3 linked regions of the Arabidopsis thaliana genome follow. The protein of the gene in region 1 purifies or fractionates together with the protein of each later gene. This does not show direct contact. Each region holds a gene or a part of one and is shown in the gene's direction. Other genes may lie near its edges.

Region 1 (6,667 bases):
CTCCACCAATCGCACTCACCTCCATGAGCGCGTGTAGACCACGTCGCAATGGTGGCTCGATGTAGAAACAACGCCGTTTTGTGTTCACGTATGTCTGACGCGCGAGCAGAGAGCGTGGGTGATTTGTCACACGAGCGCTTATAAATGAGAGTGTGGGGAGGACAGTTTCGTCCCTTTTTTGGAAGTTAGAATCATTACACTATTTTGGCGTTTTGCTTGATTATGATGACATTATAGAATAAAATGTTCTATTATACGAAATTAATACATCACTAAACATACTTTTCATTCAGTTTGTATTTAAAAAGTTACTTGTACCAATATAGTATTCTATCAGGTTGTTTGTTTTTCTGTTCAATTGTACTTATACAAACCTTCCAAAAAAAGTGTTACACTTGCGATAGATAGTTACACAAATGTCATTCTCTATGATCTTCCTTCTTTATTTGAAAATGGTATCGCAGTATTATTCGCTGAAAGTTGAACCTTCAAACCAGTTACCATTGCAGACGACATTTTCTCTACAAAAGTTAAAGTGATAGTAACATATCTCGAATTTAATTGAAAAGTTTACTACTCAAGTAGTCAAGTTCCTGTTACCCAAAACTATGTGTATAAAGTGAATTTTTTGTTAATTATGTAACTATGTATACACCGGGTACAGCTGCACGTAGGGTTTGTACATAATTACGAAATATCTCTATAAAACTGCGACAGAAGGAAAAAATAATAGAATAAGGCTTTAAGAGAAGTTTGGTCTATCCGTCTATGTAAGTGCCAGAGAAAAAGAAAGCAGTTTAAAAGTGAAAGGAGGGATTAATTAGTGGGAAAAGGTTTATCGAAAACTAATAATAATACTTCTCTGATTATTAAAAAGAGATGGAATCTGCCATTAATTGACACTCATGTCCCAATCGTCTCTCACACGTACGTTCGTTTTTTTTTTTGTTTCTCTTTTGCAAAAAGCTATAGAGACAATCTCTCCTCCACTTTATTTTTAGTTTTTCTTTCAGATACAAGTGAGAGTGAACAAGAGAAGAGTGTTAATGTGAAATGTTTGTGGTTGGTGTGAAATTCATGTAAAAATATGTATGTATTACCTTAACATTAAAGTAAATTTGAACTCTTTCAAACTATCACATTGAATGCTCCAAATCTTGTTGTATATGAGTATCAATATAAAAGAAATTTAGATGCTTATACTATGTTCCATTTTTACTGAACACTACTTAACCATTAGTCCATAAATGTGGAATTAGTTAGTTGCTGGCATCTTTATATCAGAATCAAAAGTTTTGCATATTGGGTGACAGTGAGTGCATACACCAATAATTCACCGATCAAGATCCAACCAAGTAAGAAGAAAAATATAACATGAATTATCTTGATTTTTTTTTTAATAAAAATAAAAATCAATGAATATATATGCTTATTATAAAAAAAAACCCAGCACTAAACAGAAGATCAGATTAGACTTGTGTTTTAAAAATATTGAGAAGAGAATCAAGAGATAGGTGGTTGGGGGTAAAATGTATACAAATGTTACAATAAAGTCTTAAGAAGAGTTTAAAAAGGGTAAGTAGGATATGTAGCTTGCAGAAGACTTGATCCCATCCCCTAATCTCACGTTAATTAAACACCTCTCTCATGTACAGACAAAATACCTCATTTCTTTAACTTAAACTTAACAAAAGCTACTATGAGATTAAGGATTTTGTGATGCCATTATTTTATTTATTTTTAGTATCCTCTTGCATTAATTAACTTTTTTTTTATAACCACATACAATAATTAAAAGTAGTATTATTTGTTTGTATCTGTTATCGAAATTGAAATTAATATATATAATTTTTATAATAATCAGAAGAAGAGGTAACATGGCATGTGAGTGCACAGCTGTGACCACTCTTCCCTTCACCATTTGATAAATACCTTCTTCCATCTTCCTTCTTCTGTCTTTTGACTCTCTTCTCTCTCTCCTCTCTTTCTGCTTTCCTCAATCTCTCTCTTTCTATCTCTAGAGCTTCCACTTCCTCTCTAATGGTGGAACCAAAACCCTAGATTCCCCCTTTCATCTTCTCTACTTCCCACACTTTTCTCTCTCACAAACTCTTGAGAAATGAAGACTTTTTCAAGCTTCTTTCTCTCTGTAACAACTCTCTTCTTCTTCTCCTTCTTTTCTCTTTCATTTCAAGCTTCACCATCTCAGTCTTTATACAGAGAAATCCATCAGCTTATAAGCTTCAAAGACGTTCTTCCTGACAAGAATCTTCTCCCAGACTGGTCTTCCAACAAAAACCCGTGTACTTTCGATGGCGTTACTTGCAGAGACGACAAAGTTACTTCGATTGATCTCAGCTCCAAGCCTCTCAACGTCGGATTCAGTGCCGTGTCCTCGTCTCTCCTGTCTCTCACCGGATTAGAGTCTCTGTTTCTCTCAAACTCACACATCAATGGCTCCGTTTCTGGCTTCAAGTGCTCTGCTTCTTTAACCAGCTTGGATCTATCTAGAAACTCTCTTTCGGGTCCTGTAACGACTCTAACAAGCCTTGGTTCTTGCTCCGGTCTGAAGTTTCTTAACGTCTCTTCCAATACACTTGATTTTCCCGGGAAAGTTTCAGGTGGGTTGAAGCTAAACAGCTTGGAAGTTCTGGATCTTTCTGCGAATTCAATCTCCGGTGCTAACGTCGTTGGTTGGGTTCTCTCCGATGGGTGTGGAGAGTTGAAACATTTAGCGATTAGCGGAAACAAAATCAGTGGAGACGTCGATGTTTCTCGCTGCGTGAATCTCGAGTTTCTCGATGTTTCCTCCAACAATTTCTCCACTGGGATTCCTTTCCTCGGAGATTGCTCTGCTCTGCAACATCTTGACATCTCCGGGAACAAATTATCCGGCGATTTCTCCCGTGCTATCTCTACTTGCACAGAGCTCAAGTTGTTGAACATCTCTAGTAACCAATTCGTCGGACCAATCCCTCCGCTACCGCTTAAAAGTCTCCAATACCTCTCTCTGGCCGAGAACAAATTCACCGGCGAGATCCCTGACTTTCTCTCCGGCGCGTGTGATACACTCACTGGTCTCGATCTCTCTGGAAATCATTTCTACGGTGCGGTTCCTCCATTCTTCGGTTCATGTTCTCTTCTCGAATCACTCGCGTTGTCGAGTAACAACTTCTCTGGCGAGTTACCGATGGATACGTTGTTGAAGATGAGAGGACTCAAAGTACTTGATCTGTCTTTCAACGAGTTTTCCGGCGAATTACCGGAATCTCTGACGAATCTATCCGCTTCGTTGCTAACGTTAGATCTCAGCTCCAACAATTTCTCCGGTCCGATTCTCCCAAATCTCTGCCAGAACCCTAAAAACACTCTGCAGGAGCTTTACCTTCAGAACAATGGCTTCACCGGGAAGATTCCACCGACTTTAAGCAACTGTTCTGAGCTGGTTTCGCTTCACTTGAGCTTCAATTACCTCTCCGGGACAATCCCTTCGAGCTTAGGCTCTCTATCGAAGCTTCGAGATCTGAAACTATGGCTGAATATGTTAGAAGGAGAGATCCCTCAGGAGCTCATGTATGTCAAGACCTTAGAGACTCTGATCCTCGACTTCAACGATTTAACCGGTGAAATCCCTTCCGGTTTAAGTAACTGTACCAATCTTAACTGGATTTCTCTGTCGAATAACCGGTTAACCGGTGAGATTCCGAAATGGATTGGCCGGTTAGAGAATCTCGCTATCCTCAAGCTAAGCAACAATTCATTCTCCGGGAACATTCCGGCTGAGCTCGGCGACTGCAGAAGCTTAATCTGGCTTGATCTCAACACCAATCTCTTCAATGGAACGATTCCGGCGGCGATGTTTAAACAATCCGGGAAAATCGCTGCCAATTTCATCGCCGGTAAGAGGTACGTTTATATCAAAAACGATGGGATGAAGAAAGAGTGTCATGGAGCTGGTAATTTACTTGAGTTTCAAGGAATCAGATCCGAACAATTAAACCGGCTTTCAACGAGGAACCCTTGTAATATCACTAGCAGAGTCTATGGAGGTCACACTTCGCCGACGTTTGATAACAATGGTTCGATGATGTTTCTGGACATGTCTTACAACATGTTGTCTGGATACATACCGAAGGAGATTGGTTCGATGCCTTATCTGTTTATTCTCAATTTGGGTCATAACGATATCTCTGGTTCGATTCCTGATGAGGTAGGTGATCTAAGAGGTTTAAACATTCTTGATCTTTCAAGCAATAAGCTCGATGGGAGGATTCCTCAGGCTATGTCAGCTCTTACTATGCTTACGGAAATCGATTTGTCGAATAATAATTTGTCTGGTCCGATTCCTGAGATGGGTCAGTTTGAGACTTTTCCACCGGCTAAGTTCTTGAACAATCCTGGTCTCTGTGGTTATCCTCTTCCGCGGTGTGATCCTTCAAATGCAGACGGTTATGCTCATCATCAGAGATCTCATGGAAGGAGACCAGCGTCCCTTGCTGGTAGTGTGGCGATGGGATTGTTGTTCTCTTTTGTGTGTATATTTGGGCTGATCCTTGTTGGTAGAGAGATGAGGAAGAGACGGAGAAAGAAAGAGGCGGAGTTGGAGATGTATGCGGAAGGACATGGAAACTCTGGCGATAGAACTGCTAACAACACCAATTGGAAGCTGACTGGTGTGAAAGAAGCCTTGAGTATCAATCTTGCTGCTTTCGAGAAGCCATTGCGGAAGCTCACGTTTGCGGATCTTCTTCAGGCTACCAATGGTTTCCATAATGATAGTCTGATTGGTTCTGGTGGGTTTGGAGATGTTTACAAAGCGATTTTGAAAGATGGAAGCGCGGTGGCTATCAAGAAACTGATTCATGTTAGCGGTCAAGGTGATAGAGAGTTCATGGCGGAGATGGAAACCATTGGGAAGATCAAACATCGAAATCTTGTGCCTCTTCTTGGTTATTGCAAAGTTGGAGACGAGCGGCTTCTTGTGTATGAGTTTATGAAGTATGGAAGTTTAGAAGATGTTTTGCACGACCCCAAGAAAGCTGGGGTGAAACTAAACTGGTCCACACGGCGGAAGATTGCGATAGGATCAGCTAGAGGGCTTGCTTTCCTTCACCACAACTGCAGTCCGCATATCATCCACAGAGACATGAAATCCAGTAATGTGTTGCTTGATGAGAATTTGGAAGCTCGGGTTTCAGATTTTGGCATGGCGAGGCTGATGAGTGCGATGGATACGCATTTAAGCGTCAGTACATTAGCTGGTACACCGGGTTACGTTCCTCCAGAGTATTACCAAAGTTTCAGGTGTTCAACAAAAGGAGACGTTTATAGTTACGGTGTGGTCTTACTCGAGCTACTCACGGGTAAACGGCCAACGGATTCACCGGATTTTGGAGATAACAACCTTGTTGGATGGGTGAAACAGCACGCAAAACTGCGGATTAGCGATGTGTTTGACCCCGAGCTTATGAAGGAAGATCCAGCATTAGAGATCGAACTTTTACAACATTTAAAAGTTGCGGTTGCGTGTTTGGATGATCGGGCTTGGAGACGACCGACAATGGTACAAGTCATGGCCATGTTTAAGGAGATACAAGCCGGGTCAGGGATAGATTCACAGTCAACGATCAGATCAATAGAGGATGGAGGGTTCAGTACAATAGAGATGGTTGATATGAGTATAAAAGAAGTTCCTGAAGGAAAATTATGAGAGTTAGAAACAGAGCCAAAGCAGATTCTTTGAACATCAAAATCATCTAAGGGTCAGTCCGATTTTCCTTGGGTCTATTTTTTTTGTATTTTCTACTATATGCTAAGTGTATGTATCTATGTTATTTATACATAAGACGGATGTTTTTTTTTTCGGGCTCGGTCGAATTGGGGGTGGTGGAGAATAGAACTAAGTAATAACTTTGTTAAGAATATGTAAATATACAGTTTTTTGGGGAGGGATTTGTAATGTTTTCGTTTTTAGTTCTATGGAAATTTCTACGTTGCTAACAAATTAAATTTATAATGAATCATGAAGAAACAAAGAGCCAATGTGTATTAAATTTCGACTGATCATGTTCATGTAAATGCACGTGACCTATTAATTCATTATTGTCGGAATTAATTTGGGGAATTCACACTGCACGGGAATGGGAAAGTGAGAATAGATGAGACTTAAATTTGTTTTTATGGATGTTATATTTACATGACCAATGTGGTCCCTTTTGAACTATGCTGAGTTAAACGTTTTTTTTTTTGCTATATACTTATTACTGATGAAATTGAACCGTTGGACTATATTTATATCCATCTACGTTATTTTTTCCATTACTATTGATTTTGTTATTGGCCCAAGTAGAATCAAAAGAATGGTTTTTTGATGTCATAATTTGCAATATAGAAATGGGAGGGATATGTATTGCATAATAAGATAAAGATAAACCTTTATCGAGACATAAGATTGTATGTAGATATTGAAAATGATAGGGTGATCAATGGATTTTAAAAAGTTTAAACAATTTTGCTACTAATAAATAAGAGATTGATATATAACATGGAGAAATGGACCTTCGCCTGAAATTAAAACAAAGTCTGGGTTTCATTCATGTTTCAGTGAGACACTGCGCCAACATCACCACAACAAGTCTTACACAAGGAACGTGTGCCTCACGTGCTC
Region 2 (4,935 bases), on another chromosome or scaffold:
GGTAACCAACGGATTTTATCCTTTTGTTGTTTGTTTACAGTATCAGATAAGGGAACAGAAGTATTGTTTGCTAACCGAGTCTGGTTGGGTGTCCGTTTTACCCCGAGTTGACTCGGTTCTTGTGACGTTGGGTGACATTGCTCAGGTTAGTTCTCTTTTGCTTTTGACAATTGACAGAACACATATATCTCTTTTATTTATCTATAATTAATTGGTTAGTTGTCTTCCTTAAATAATTATCAAATTATCATCCTTTGTAATGGAACTTTATTCCACTATACCGTTAACTGGCTGTTTTAATGTATTTTAAACATTATCCAAAATAAATGTTTTCCAACGCATCGTTCAAAAAGAGAACAAGAATTTGGATATTTCCGATATTTATTGTTGACAACAACAACAATTGTGGAGCATAACCGGGGAATGTGTTTTCACTTTTCGTTTGAAACAGATTTATGGCATTGGGAAAGAAATAAGAATTTGGAAATTTCCGATATTTAAATACTTATACACATCACATCGCAATTGTACTTAGTGTCCTATAGAATTCAACAATTCTTTTTTTTTTAGGTCAAAACCTAACAGCTTTCTACAATATAGTTTTCAACTTTTGAACAGCTAACAAACAACTTAAAATTGGCAGGTTTGGAGAAATGGAGAGGTCAAAAGAGTGAAATATCGACCAGTGTTGTGTTCAGGACAAAAAGATGGTCCAGTAAAGTGTGTAACAATGACATTGATGCTTACACTTCCCATGGACAGTATGGTTTCATCATTGAAGGATATGATCAGTGACGGCGACAAAGAAGAAGAGTATGCAGAGGAGGAGGAAGAAGATGGAGGAGCAAGAAGTGATGAGAGAAGGGCATTTAGGCCTTTTAGTTTCAAGGAGTACGCATGGAGAGTGTACCAAGAACGTCTCTTCTTCAGGGATCCACTTGACAGATACAGAATCAAATCTTTAAAAGATTGACGAACCGATGTTTGATTTGTTTGTTTCTTTCTTGGGTTGAATTGGTACTATAGTTCTTGTTGTTACTTTTTTTCCCCCATAAAATCTTTTGATTTTCAGCGGATTGTTAGCATTTTAGCATTGAGATATTTTTGTTTTTGTTCGATTCAGTTCAGAGAATGTTCTATTTTGATAGTCACTCCATCATTCAACTAATTTTTTCATATATACTCATATCAAAACTGTCACTATTTCAAAATCAAACTTTTAGGTTACACCAATGACTCTATCACACTAAACTCAACTCCTAGATTTTATATAGAAGAATCTATGACTTTGATGATGTACTTTAAAACTGAGTCTTTTGAGATCATAACCAAATTCTACTTCATAACTTTTGTTTTCCAATGTTGATTATTTGTTATAATTAGAAGGTGACACAAACGCTTATAGCATCCTGTTTTTGAAAATGAGGAAATACAGTGTTGGCTTTTAATCTCTCATTGAGGCAGAATATCAATGAATGACTTCAAATCTACGTATACATGTTTACTTATTTAGTGATCCATATTGGTGTTGCTCTTTAATTTTCTTGTGAGAATGAATTATATACATCAAAATTGATTATATCATTTAATTCGAGTTAAAATTATAAGTAATACAATCTTCACTAAACACTAATTAAATCGACGTAAATTTCTTATACGATTTTTTCATGCAACACTTAAATCGACATAAATTTAAATATTTTGGTCTTCATACCCTAATTTTGATAAGATATAATAGAAAATTTCGTATATCTTTTTTTTTTTTTGGTAAAAAGTTTTTTTTTTTTTGTTTCATCTCCATATTTAGAAAATTTATTTCAAACTTCGTTCTCGTTTGTGTTCATCTTAATTTTTAACCATGATTGAGTCATTGACCATTGCTCAAAACATACGCATAAAATTCCCAAAAAGTAGTGTGTGTCGTGACAAAACCCGACCCGTCGATTTACGCGGTTTGAAACTCGACCCGAATACTATCCGAACCCGTAACTTTGGCAAAAGCACATCGTACAGCTCAGGCACTTGTAGCACGTCGTCTCTCCTTTGGTTTCTCTCCTTATATTCGACGAGTGACTCCGATTGGATCGCTATTTCGTCATTTCTCACTTTCCAAAAAGAAAAAAACGAATCTCTCTCCACCATCATCACCTTTCTCCTTCACTTGCCTCAGATCTGGCTGCGATTTCAAATCTTCCTTAGTTTCTCTCGCATCGCTCGGCCGTTGACGGTCCCGTCCTTTCCGTGGATCTGATTCTGGCCCCGGATTCTCTCGCCGCGATCTGAGGTCAAACATGGCGGCTGCTAACGCGCCCATCATTATGAAGGAGGTCCTAACGGTGAGTTCTCTGTTTTTAAATCTCCGGGAATCGAGCTAAAATTTTGGACGATTAACATGTTTCTATAGTTGTAGTCTCTGATTTCTATCGATTTGGTTCTGCTCACACTGTTATATGATTGATTCAAGTTTCATTCTGTTCTCAATTCTACCCGATCGTTGAGATCAAGTTCTCTGATCAGATTTTCTCTGCGGACGCTCAGATCTGTGTTATCTGAATGTATATAGTCCTTAGTTTTAAGTTATTGTGTTGCGCAATGTGCTTATCTACTCGGATCTTGTAACTAAGTTAATGAACTATGCCAATTGATTACTTTTGTTTTGGAAATTTTCCAGCTTCCGAGCGTTGGGATCGGTCAACAGTTCATCACCTTTACAAATGTTACTATGGAGTCTGATAAGTACATATGTGTACGAGAGACGGCACCGCAGAACAGTGTTGTAATTATCGATATGAATATGCCGATGCAGCCTTTAAGGAGGCCTATAACTGCTGATTCTGCTCTTATGAACCCAAACTCGAGGATCCTTGCCTTAAAAGGTATTACACTGTTTCCTTCGATCGCATTATCACTTATAACACCCATAAGATTCTCCTTTTGAAGTGTATGATCAGTTATAAGACCCATAAGTGGTTCCTATTAAAGTTTTCTCCAGAACTACCATTGATAGCTTCTCCTTCATTTTGTTAACTGTACATATGCTATTTATTACGGATAGGATGTTTTGATTTATTTGAAGTTTAAATGACTCTGTCCATGTTGTGATGCGTCACTTGATAGAAAACCTATTTTTATTAAAGTAGTATGGAAGTGTAACTACACTCTTCGAGTTTATGTTGTAGTCCTATACTCTTTTTCTGGATTTGGGGTGATAGCATGTTTAATGCTGTAGAAAACATCAGTATAGCGCTCTCTGTTTTCCAACACGTGTTATATTTCTCGTGGCAGTGTTGTGTCTCAAGCTTAGTGTAGTTAAACTAGAAATTTTGGTTTGTACTGGATGTTTCCTTGTATAAGCTATTACTTATTTCTTCCTTAATTTGTTGTTAACTTTTTCTTAAATTCGTATCGTATATAGCTCAAGTTCCAGGAACTACTCAGGATCATCTACAGATATTTAACATTGAAGCAAAGGCAAAGTTGAAGTCACATCAGATGCCTGAGCAGGTGAATTTTGAAGCAAACAAATTGTAACCCGATTATCTTTCATGTTGTACTCTTCAGACAGACTCTGATTTTACTGGTCTGAATTTTTTGGATATTATAGGTTGCTTTTTGGAAGTGGATCACACCTAAGATGCTGGGACTGGTCACACAAACTTCTGTGTATCATTGGTCAATTGAAGGTTTTATATCTTTAACTTACTGTCAGCTTCTTCATATCATGTATATGTTGTTTCTCATTTTTGCTTCGATATTTCCAGGTGATTCTGAGCCAGTTAAGATGTTTGATAGAACGGCTAATTTGGCAAACAATCAAATTATAAACTATAAGTGCTCTCCTAATGAGAAGTGGTTGGTCTTGATTGGAATTGCCCCTGGCTCTCCTGAGGTAGGGTTCCTGCACCACGTATTAGGTTGAATTAAGACATCATAACGGCAGTCATGTTGTATATTTTTGACGGAATCTTGTCATTATTATCCTCTGTAGAGACCACAATTGGTGAAAGGAAATATGCAGCTTTTCTCTGTGGATCAACAGCGGAGCCAGGCCCTTGAAGCACATGCTGCATCTTTTGCTCAGTTTAAGGTAAACTATGTGATACCTTTGCTACTTCATTCCATGGTCGGATCTTGAACTGTAGTATGACAAGCGACATTATTATTGATAGGTCCCTGGGAATGAGAATCCTTCGATTCTTATATCATTTGCAAGCAAGAGCTTTAATGCTGGGCAGATAACATCAAAGCTGCATGTTATTGAACTTGGTGCCCAACCAGGTTAGCTTAAACTACTGCTCTATATTTTCATGGTTATTGTTAGTTGGTATTAGTCTGATGTTTAAAGGTGGGCGGCTTTTTTTCAGGGAAACCATCATTTACAAAAAAGCAGGCAGATCTCTTTTTCCCCCCAGATTTTGCTGATGATTTTCCTGTGGCCATGCAGGTTTGTAGTTGCATTAGCTGTTCAATTAACTTCAGTAAGTTTCTTGTGAAAAATTCATGACACCGACTTCTCTTTCTCCCAACAGGTCTCTCACAAGTTTAACTTGATTTATGTCATCACCAAGCTTGGCCTGCTGTTTGTATATGATCTAGAGACAGCTTCTGCTATCTACAGAAATCGGATAAGTCCGGACCCAATTTTCTTAACGTCTGAAGCTTCCTCAGTTGGGGGTTTCTATGCCATTAATAGGCGAGGACAAGTTCTTTTGGCAACAGTAAATGAGGCCACCATAATACCTTTTATTAGTGGTCAAGTATGTTCAACTTTTACTTTGTTCTTCTCTATATAATCTATCTATTCATCATGACATGCTAAGAAATCTATGCCTTTATATTACAGTTGAACAATTTGGAACTTGCTGTCAATCTTGCTAAAAGAGGAAACCTCCCTGGTGCAGAAAATCTGGTATGTGATAATTATCTTGGATCAGA
Region 3 (6,606 bases), on another chromosome or scaffold:
TCTTCCTTTATTCCTCTCTGAATAAGAATGCAAACTGAAGCAAAGAATCCAAAGATATAATCTTATGGTGAATTCTCGAGCACCCTAGACTCTTCCAATGCAAAACCAATACCCAAATCCCTAGACAACCCATTCCTCCTTTGGTCATCTTCCATTTATACTGATTCGTTTATCTTTTGCTGACTGAATATTAGAGAGATGACATGACTAATGCAACAGCTGCACTCTTCTAACTACTTATGCAGACTTATCACAGCAGAGCCATATTGGAGCAGCATACATAAGCGATTTACTTGTAACCAAAACAATAATTGCGAACAAAACCCTGAGTAAGTGCTCAGTCAGATAGTCTACACGTATTTGGGCAAAGAAAGAACTTACAGCGCTAGAGTCTTGACCAACAACGAGAACAACCATATCGGGTCCAAACCTTCTAACTGCAGGAACCACCAGCTCATTCATGGCATATTCATATCCCCGGTCACCCGTGCCATTCGGTAAAGGGACATTCAGATTGTAACCCAATCCCACGTCTTCACCAAGTTCATCAATCGACCCTTTCTGCGGGTGGGACGATCCCCATGATCCATGGTTCATATGGAGTGACACCGTAAGAACCTTATCAGATGTATAAAACCCTTCAGCTGTGCCATTTCCATAATGTACATCGATGTCAATAACCGCAACTCGGGAACAAGAACCCGAATTCAATGCCAGCTTGACAGCAAGAGCAGCGTTGTTGAGGAAGCAATACCCATCAGCCTGAGTAGGCTGTGAGTGGTGACCTGGTGGGCGTACCAGAGCATATGCAATTTTCCCATGGCAATCAAGAATATGTTGCATTGCTGAAAGAGTTGTTCCAGCTGCAAGAAGAGCAGCTTCCCACGAGCCTGGGCTCATGAAAGTACCTGCGGCAATTTCACACCTTTCTCCTGATTTATCTGCCTCCACTAGCTTCTCAATGTACTCTGTACAAGGATCACAATGGATTACATGAGAAAGCAATAATCACAAATCAAAGTCGAATTTTTTAAGGTTAAGATTTGTCAAAACTACCAAATTCAGAAACAGGTTTTTATAAAAGTTCCTTCTTTTCTGCGAACCTTAGAGCGATGTACCTGAAGTGTGAAACATTAGAAGCTCCGAAACGATTGCTGGAAGACCGGTAAACCAATTGACATGAGGAGCGATGGGACCGCGTCGGAGAATCGAAAGCATGTTCCTGACGCGATCGGCGTTCTCCGGGTGCTTCTCCAATACGTCGAGGAATCCAGGGTCGTATCCAGTGTCGAAGACGCCTTCTACGGCGTCGTGTCGGAGCATTCCTTCGTGCCAGAAGACGTCTACGCGATTGGTAACCATCGGAGAAGCCGGCGACGAAGATAGGCTTGAGCCGTCGTCGGAGGCCAACGGTGGTGTAATAATGGAGGATGCTCACGCGCAACACACGTGTTCTCTAACCATTGAGATAACAAGGGGTATAAATGTCTTTTCCAAATAAACTCAAGGATTAAGTTAATTTCGGAGAAGAGAAATTTCGTGCTTATTGGGCCTGGACTGAACATGCTGTTAATGACATGTTGTACTGTTTTAGATTGGAGCTTTTTGGATTTCGTTATCCCACATTTAATTATTGTAGAACCTTTATTTTTTGACTACAAAAAAAATATATTCTTCGCTCTCATAAAATAAAGAAAATATAATTGAATTTATTTATGATTCATATTCGTATAAAAAACATTTGGCTACAAGTATCATGTACAAAACATTCGGCTAGATTTAGTTAGAACAAGATTTGTTATAAATCATAATGGCAATATAAGAGATTAGAGCAAGAAACATAGCAATTATTATTTGAGACCAGTTTTGCCCCATTTCTTACGATGATAAACGACTTTGAATATTCTTCAGTCCACTCCACACTGCGACGACGACTTGAGAAAAACAACATAGAGAAAAAAAGAAAAATCCAAACCTTAGGGGCAATATTGTAACTAAACCAAACGACACTGAGTCAACATTCTGCTTTGCTATAAAGGCCCAAGCACAATTTTTCAGTAACCATGATGAAGTGAGAAATTCTGAAAAATGGGATTACCTCAAAATAAGCTCAGTTTTTTCTGCTTCTTCTTCCTCGTCTCTGTACTAACTCTTGCCCCATTGGCTTTCTCCGAGATCTTCTTAGAGGAGCATTTCGAAGGTGAAGTATATATATAAACACTCTTCTCTCTTTTTTTTCCTTTTCTGGGAAACAAAACAACGATTTGTTATTTTTGTTTCCTTTTTGAATATATTGCTATGATTAGTAAGTAGTAACTTTCCTTGGTAGATTTTGATTTGATTAGGATAGTGAATCCGAATCCATCCTTCACTAGAATCTTCTATTATAGGCTTTGCTTTTCCTATTCTGGTTAATATAACGATTCTATGGTTCTGGATTTTGGCTTTCTATTTATAGGTTTATGGAATTAACTTAGTAAGATTGTGTTCAGGTGGATGGAAAAGTAGGTGGGTCTTGTCTGATTGGAAAAGAAACGAAGGCAAAGCTGGAACCTTTAAGCACACTGCCGGTAAATGGCCCGGCGATCCTGACAATAAAGGTACTTCCTTTCGCCCACCTTTAAGCACACTGCAGAACTCCGTCTTTTTGGCGTTAAGGGTCTCACTTGATTTTCAGAATACGAGAATCTATATCACCATTCTCCCTGTGATCTTTGTTATGTTGCAGTGTTTTAGTTCTTTGATATGTTCTTGTTAGCTGCCACTTGTGTGTAGATCTTCAGCTCTTTTGTTATGTGGACTAAGACATGGAGTTCGCAAGTCTACTGCCTTTCGATATTTGAAGTTATCTTGAAGAAAATTAAATCTTTAATTGGTTATAATTAGGATTTCTATTTTAGTTCTTAGATATGTTTGTTTCAGCAGCAGGTTTGTGTGTAGATCTTGAGCTCTTTTGTTCTGTGATACAATTATGGATCGTCAAGTGTACTAGCTTTCGATCTCGAAAGTTAACTTGAGGAATATAGAATCTTTATTTGGTTTAACTTAGTATCTTTTTCTTTCTTTTTTGATTTTCTTGATGTGTTTAGGTATTCAGACTTATAATGATGCCAAGCATTATGCGATTTCTGCAAAGATTCCTGAGTTTAGCAACAAAAACCGGACTCTTGTTGTCCAGTACTCAGTCAAGATTGAACAAGACATTGAATGTGGTGGTGCTTACATTAAGCTCCTGTCTGGCTATGTTAACCAGAAGCAGTTTGGTGGTGATACTCCATACAGGTAATCATACATTAATGCTTTTTCAATGAACATCAGTTGATAGAATGTTATATTGCAATCTAAGTCAAGTTGCGTTGATTTAGTTAATCCAGTGAACTTTGATAAATGATTACATGTCCATGTTTTTTACAACAAAGTCGTCACATGGTGTTGTTGTGTTTGGGGATTCTCATTAGTTTTTCTATGCAGTCTAATGTTTGGACCAGATATATGCGGAACACAGACGAAGAAGCTTCATGTTATAGTTTCATATCAGGGACAGAATTATCCAATCAAAAAGGATTTGCAATGTGAAACAGACAAATTAAATCATTTCTACACATTTATTCTGCGTCCTGACGCTTCTTACAGCGTTCTGGTGGATAATAAAGAGAGAGAATTTGGCAGTATGTACACAGACTGGGACATCCTTCCTCCAAGGAAGATCAAGGTCAAGAATGCAAAGAAGGTAACTGTCTGGGTGCTTATAAGGTTTCATAGACTCTTTCTTAAATGCAATGTGAATTTCTGAACCAAACATTTGCAAGGTTGGATAACCTTTTTCTGAGATAGTTACACTTAGCTTTTAGCTATTATAATTTATGATGTATGACGAGGAAAATGGATTATGGTTTTGATCTGAGGTTATACTAAATTTTCATAGAAGAGCAAGATATGCAGTAAGCCAGTAACACTACATTTCTTTTAGCTTTCACCTTGATAGATTCTTAACAGTCTGTATTTTGCAGCCAGAGGACTGGGATGATAGAGAGTACATCGATGACCCCAACGATGTCAAACCCGAGGTAACTTTTTAGTAAACTTAGCAATATAGAAAATACAATTTGTATTGAAAGGAAGCTATTCAGTTCCCATTCTCTTAATTCTTAGTTTAATTCAGGCAACTGGCTCGTTCTTCCTTTTGTAACCAGGGTTTTGATTCTATTCCACGTGAAATTCCAGATCGTAAAGCTAAAGAGGTATGTACTGTTATATTAGATTCTTTAAATGATTGGTCGTTATTTTTTAGTCTCAGAGATCCATCATTCTTTCTTCATTCTATATCACTGCAAATTCTGACATTATGGCACTCATTCTTTTTTGGAACTCATTACTGTGTTATAGTCTGAAGCTTTGTGTCTTGTATCTCTCTCTCTACTTGTTTAGCCCGAGGACTGGGACGAGGAAGAAAATGGTCTCTGGGAACCTCCAAAGATCCCAAATTCTGCGTACAAAGGTCCTTGGAAAGCAAAGGTTATTATATGACAGTCATCAATGGTTATATAGATTACTGTTTTTTCTTCTTCTCCATTTGACATTTCTCAAAACATTATTTTCCTACAGAGAATCAAGAACCCGAACTACAAGGGAAAATGGAAGAACCCATGGATAGATAATCCAGGCATGTTTCTACCTATTTAATGTGTATGTTCATTTTGAGCTGGATTTCTTCTTGTTATAAATACTAAGCTTGAGCTTCTCGGTTTTGCACAGAATTTGAAGATGATCCAGATCTTTACGTTCTGAAGTCTATCAAATATGCAGGCATTGAAGTATGGCAGGTAAGTTCTAGAGCTTTCTTGAATTCCATCAAATATTAACTTTTATAATCACTACATCATCACCAGATATGGATGAATATTTATATAATATTCACTGCCAATTAGTTCTTTTAACATATATATGCTGCTTGTACATATAGGTCATCCAAATTTTTAGGGTTGAAAACAAAACCAAAAGAAACAGAAAAGATCTGATAAAAAGTCTTCATTTTAGACGAGGGATCAAACTTATCTAGTGCATCTGAATGAAAAAAAAATGATCTTAACACTGCAGGTGAAGGCTGGCTCAATCTTTGACAATATATTGATCTGCGATGACCCGGCATATGCAAGAAGCATCGTGGATGACTATTTTGCCCAACACAGGGAGGTAGATTTCCAAGTCTTTGTATATCTTTTTGCTTCTTTTTGGATAAAATCAAAGAAGTTTTTTGATCTTGCAAGTGTGTAGTAATTGCAAATGGATTTTCTGCATGCTATTATATACGAAAATGTCTTATTAGTGAATTTGATATGCTATATACTTGGCCATATGCACCAGTCTGAGAAGGAGTTATTTGCGGAAGCAGAGAAAGAAAGAAAAGCTAGAGAAGATGAGGTTTGTAGTTCACAAAAAAGTTCTTGTTCTCTTTTCAAGTCTTCTCTGTATATCCTAGTTAACGAGCATGGCCATACAAATCAACGTTTACAGGAAGCTCGGATAGCACGGGAAGAAGGTGAACGCAGGCGGAAAGAAAGGGACCACCGGTATGGAGACAGGAGGAGGCGTTACAAACGGGTAAGTACTTATTTGAGTCCAAATGAATTATAACCTTCTCAACTCTGTTTTATCTGGAAACCAAGTGAGTGAATATTGTTGGAAATGGTTTGTTTTGTTTTGTTTTGTTTTGTTTTGCAGCCGAATCCACGTGATTATATGGATGATTACCATGTAAGTGTTCCTTCTATCTCAACCACTTTAAAAAGAATGGTTTATGCAGTTTAGTACTGAATCATCTTAACTGTTCTAAAAATGTAAGTTTGTTATGATTCTGAATTTCGTGTAGGACGAGCTATGAGGCGCAGAGTGGTGGGCATTTGGCAAAGCATTGGGGGAAATTATCTATATTTTGCTTTGAATGTGTGTTTGTAATTTCATAATTTGTAACCTTTTGTATTCATATTCTTATAATGTATTTTGGCATGAAAACTTGACTTGTTATTTTTCCCTTCCAATACAAAAATTCTAAAATTGGCAAGAACGACAAACTACCATGCAGTGATTTGTGAAGTTTGATAGTGGTGGTAATTTTAATTGTTTCACCACAGAAAATTTCTCTATATCCTGAAGAAGATAGCTGAGTTGAACTGAGAGGTTGGCGTTTCTTAGTGAAAATACAAAAAATAGAAATCTTTAGCTAGAAAGTGTGGTGTGGACTGATGGTAACCATGTTCATTTGGAGGAACTAATGTGAATATTAGCTAAAAGCATATTGTTGAGTGTTGACAAAATGACAACAGATAAATCGTCAAATACTACTCCACCTAGCTAATATTTTTTTTTAACTAATGTTAGAAAGCCACCTATTTGCATCCGTAATGATAAAAACTAAAAAAATATAAGATTATAAGAGTGATACATTTTGTGTGAAAACGTAAACGAAAGTCAAAAGAAAGAAAAACGAAAGAATTTTAAATGCGTTTTATGTTGGGCACAAATGTTGTGACTTGTGTGTACCTTTTCCCACTTTAAATGTACGGCTGATAATCACATCAGTGGCGACTTTAGGAAATAGAAAATTCG

What was found. The genes of interacting proteins can lie anywhere in the genome.
Region 2: the proteins of BRI1 (region 1) and AT3G11130 purify together in Arabidopsis thaliana (affinity purification with western blotting, with the first as the bait; one study listed by BioGRID). This does not show direct contact.
Region 3: the proteins of BRI1 (region 1) and CRT3 purify together in Arabidopsis thaliana (affinity purification with western blotting, with the first as the bait; one study listed by BioGRID). This does not show direct contact.

The regions. Positions count from the first base shown.
Region 1 is NC_003075.7:18,322,707-18,329,373, forward strand, and holds BRI1 (Leucine-rich receptor-like protein kinase family protein), read left to right. Parts: upstream 1-1,750; 5' UTR 1,751-2,119; coding exon 2,120-5,710; 3' UTR 5,711-6,125; downstream 6,126-6,667. Other genes in the region: PLS (polari), read right to left, coding at 6,483-6,593. UniProt on the Arabidopsis thaliana protein: Receptor with a dual specificity kinase activity acting on both serine/threonine- and tyrosine-containing substrates.
Region 2 is NC_003074.8:3,489,024-3,493,958, reverse strand, and holds the start of AT3G11130 (Clathrin, heavy chain), read left to right. Parts: upstream 1-1,893; 5' UTR 1,894-2,291; coding exon 2,292-2,336; intron 2,337-2,671; coding exon 2,672-2,876; intron 2,877-3,415; coding exon 3,416-3,504; intron 3,505-3,604; coding exon 3,605-3,683; intron 3,684-3,761; coding exon 3,762-3,889; intron 3,890-3,988; coding exon 3,989-4,087; intron 4,088-4,169; coding exon 4,170-4,278; intron 4,279-4,364; coding exon 4,365-4,444; intron 4,445-4,529; coding exon 4,530-4,757; intron 4,758-4,843; coding exon 4,844-4,909; intron 4,910-4,935. Other genes in the region: AT3G11150 (2-oxoglutarate (2OG) and Fe(II)-dependent oxygenase superfamily protein), read left to right, coding at 1-145, 644-973. UniProt on the Arabidopsis thaliana protein: Clathrin is the major protein of the polyhedral coat of coated pits and vesicles. Mediates endocytosis and is required for a correct polar distribution of PIN auxin transporters.
Region 3 is NC_003070.9:2,667,283-2,673,888, reverse strand, and holds CRT3 (calreticulin 3), read left to right. Parts: upstream 1-1,931; 5' UTR 1,932-2,088; coding exon 2,089-2,200; intron 2,201-2,492; coding exon 2,493-2,600; intron 2,601-3,089; coding exon 3,090-3,282; intron 3,283-3,471; coding exon 3,472-3,730; intron 3,731-4,010; coding exon 4,011-4,067; intron 4,068-4,193; coding exon 4,194-4,241; intron 4,242-4,428; coding exon 4,429-4,515; intron 4,516-4,605; coding exon 4,606-4,663; intron 4,664-4,755; coding exon 4,756-4,823; intron 4,824-5,097; coding exon 5,098-5,193; intron 5,194-5,364; coding exon 5,365-5,421; intron 5,422-5,514; coding exon 5,515-5,601; intron 5,602-5,721; coding exon 5,722-5,754; intron 5,755-5,869; coding exon 5,870-5,881; 3' UTR 5,882-6,064; downstream 6,065-6,606. Other genes in the region: HDA08 (histone deacetylase 8), read right to left, coding at 382-968, 1,119-1,362. UniProt on the Arabidopsis thaliana protein: Molecular calcium-binding chaperone promoting folding, oligomeric assembly and quality control in the ER via the calreticulin/calnexin cycle.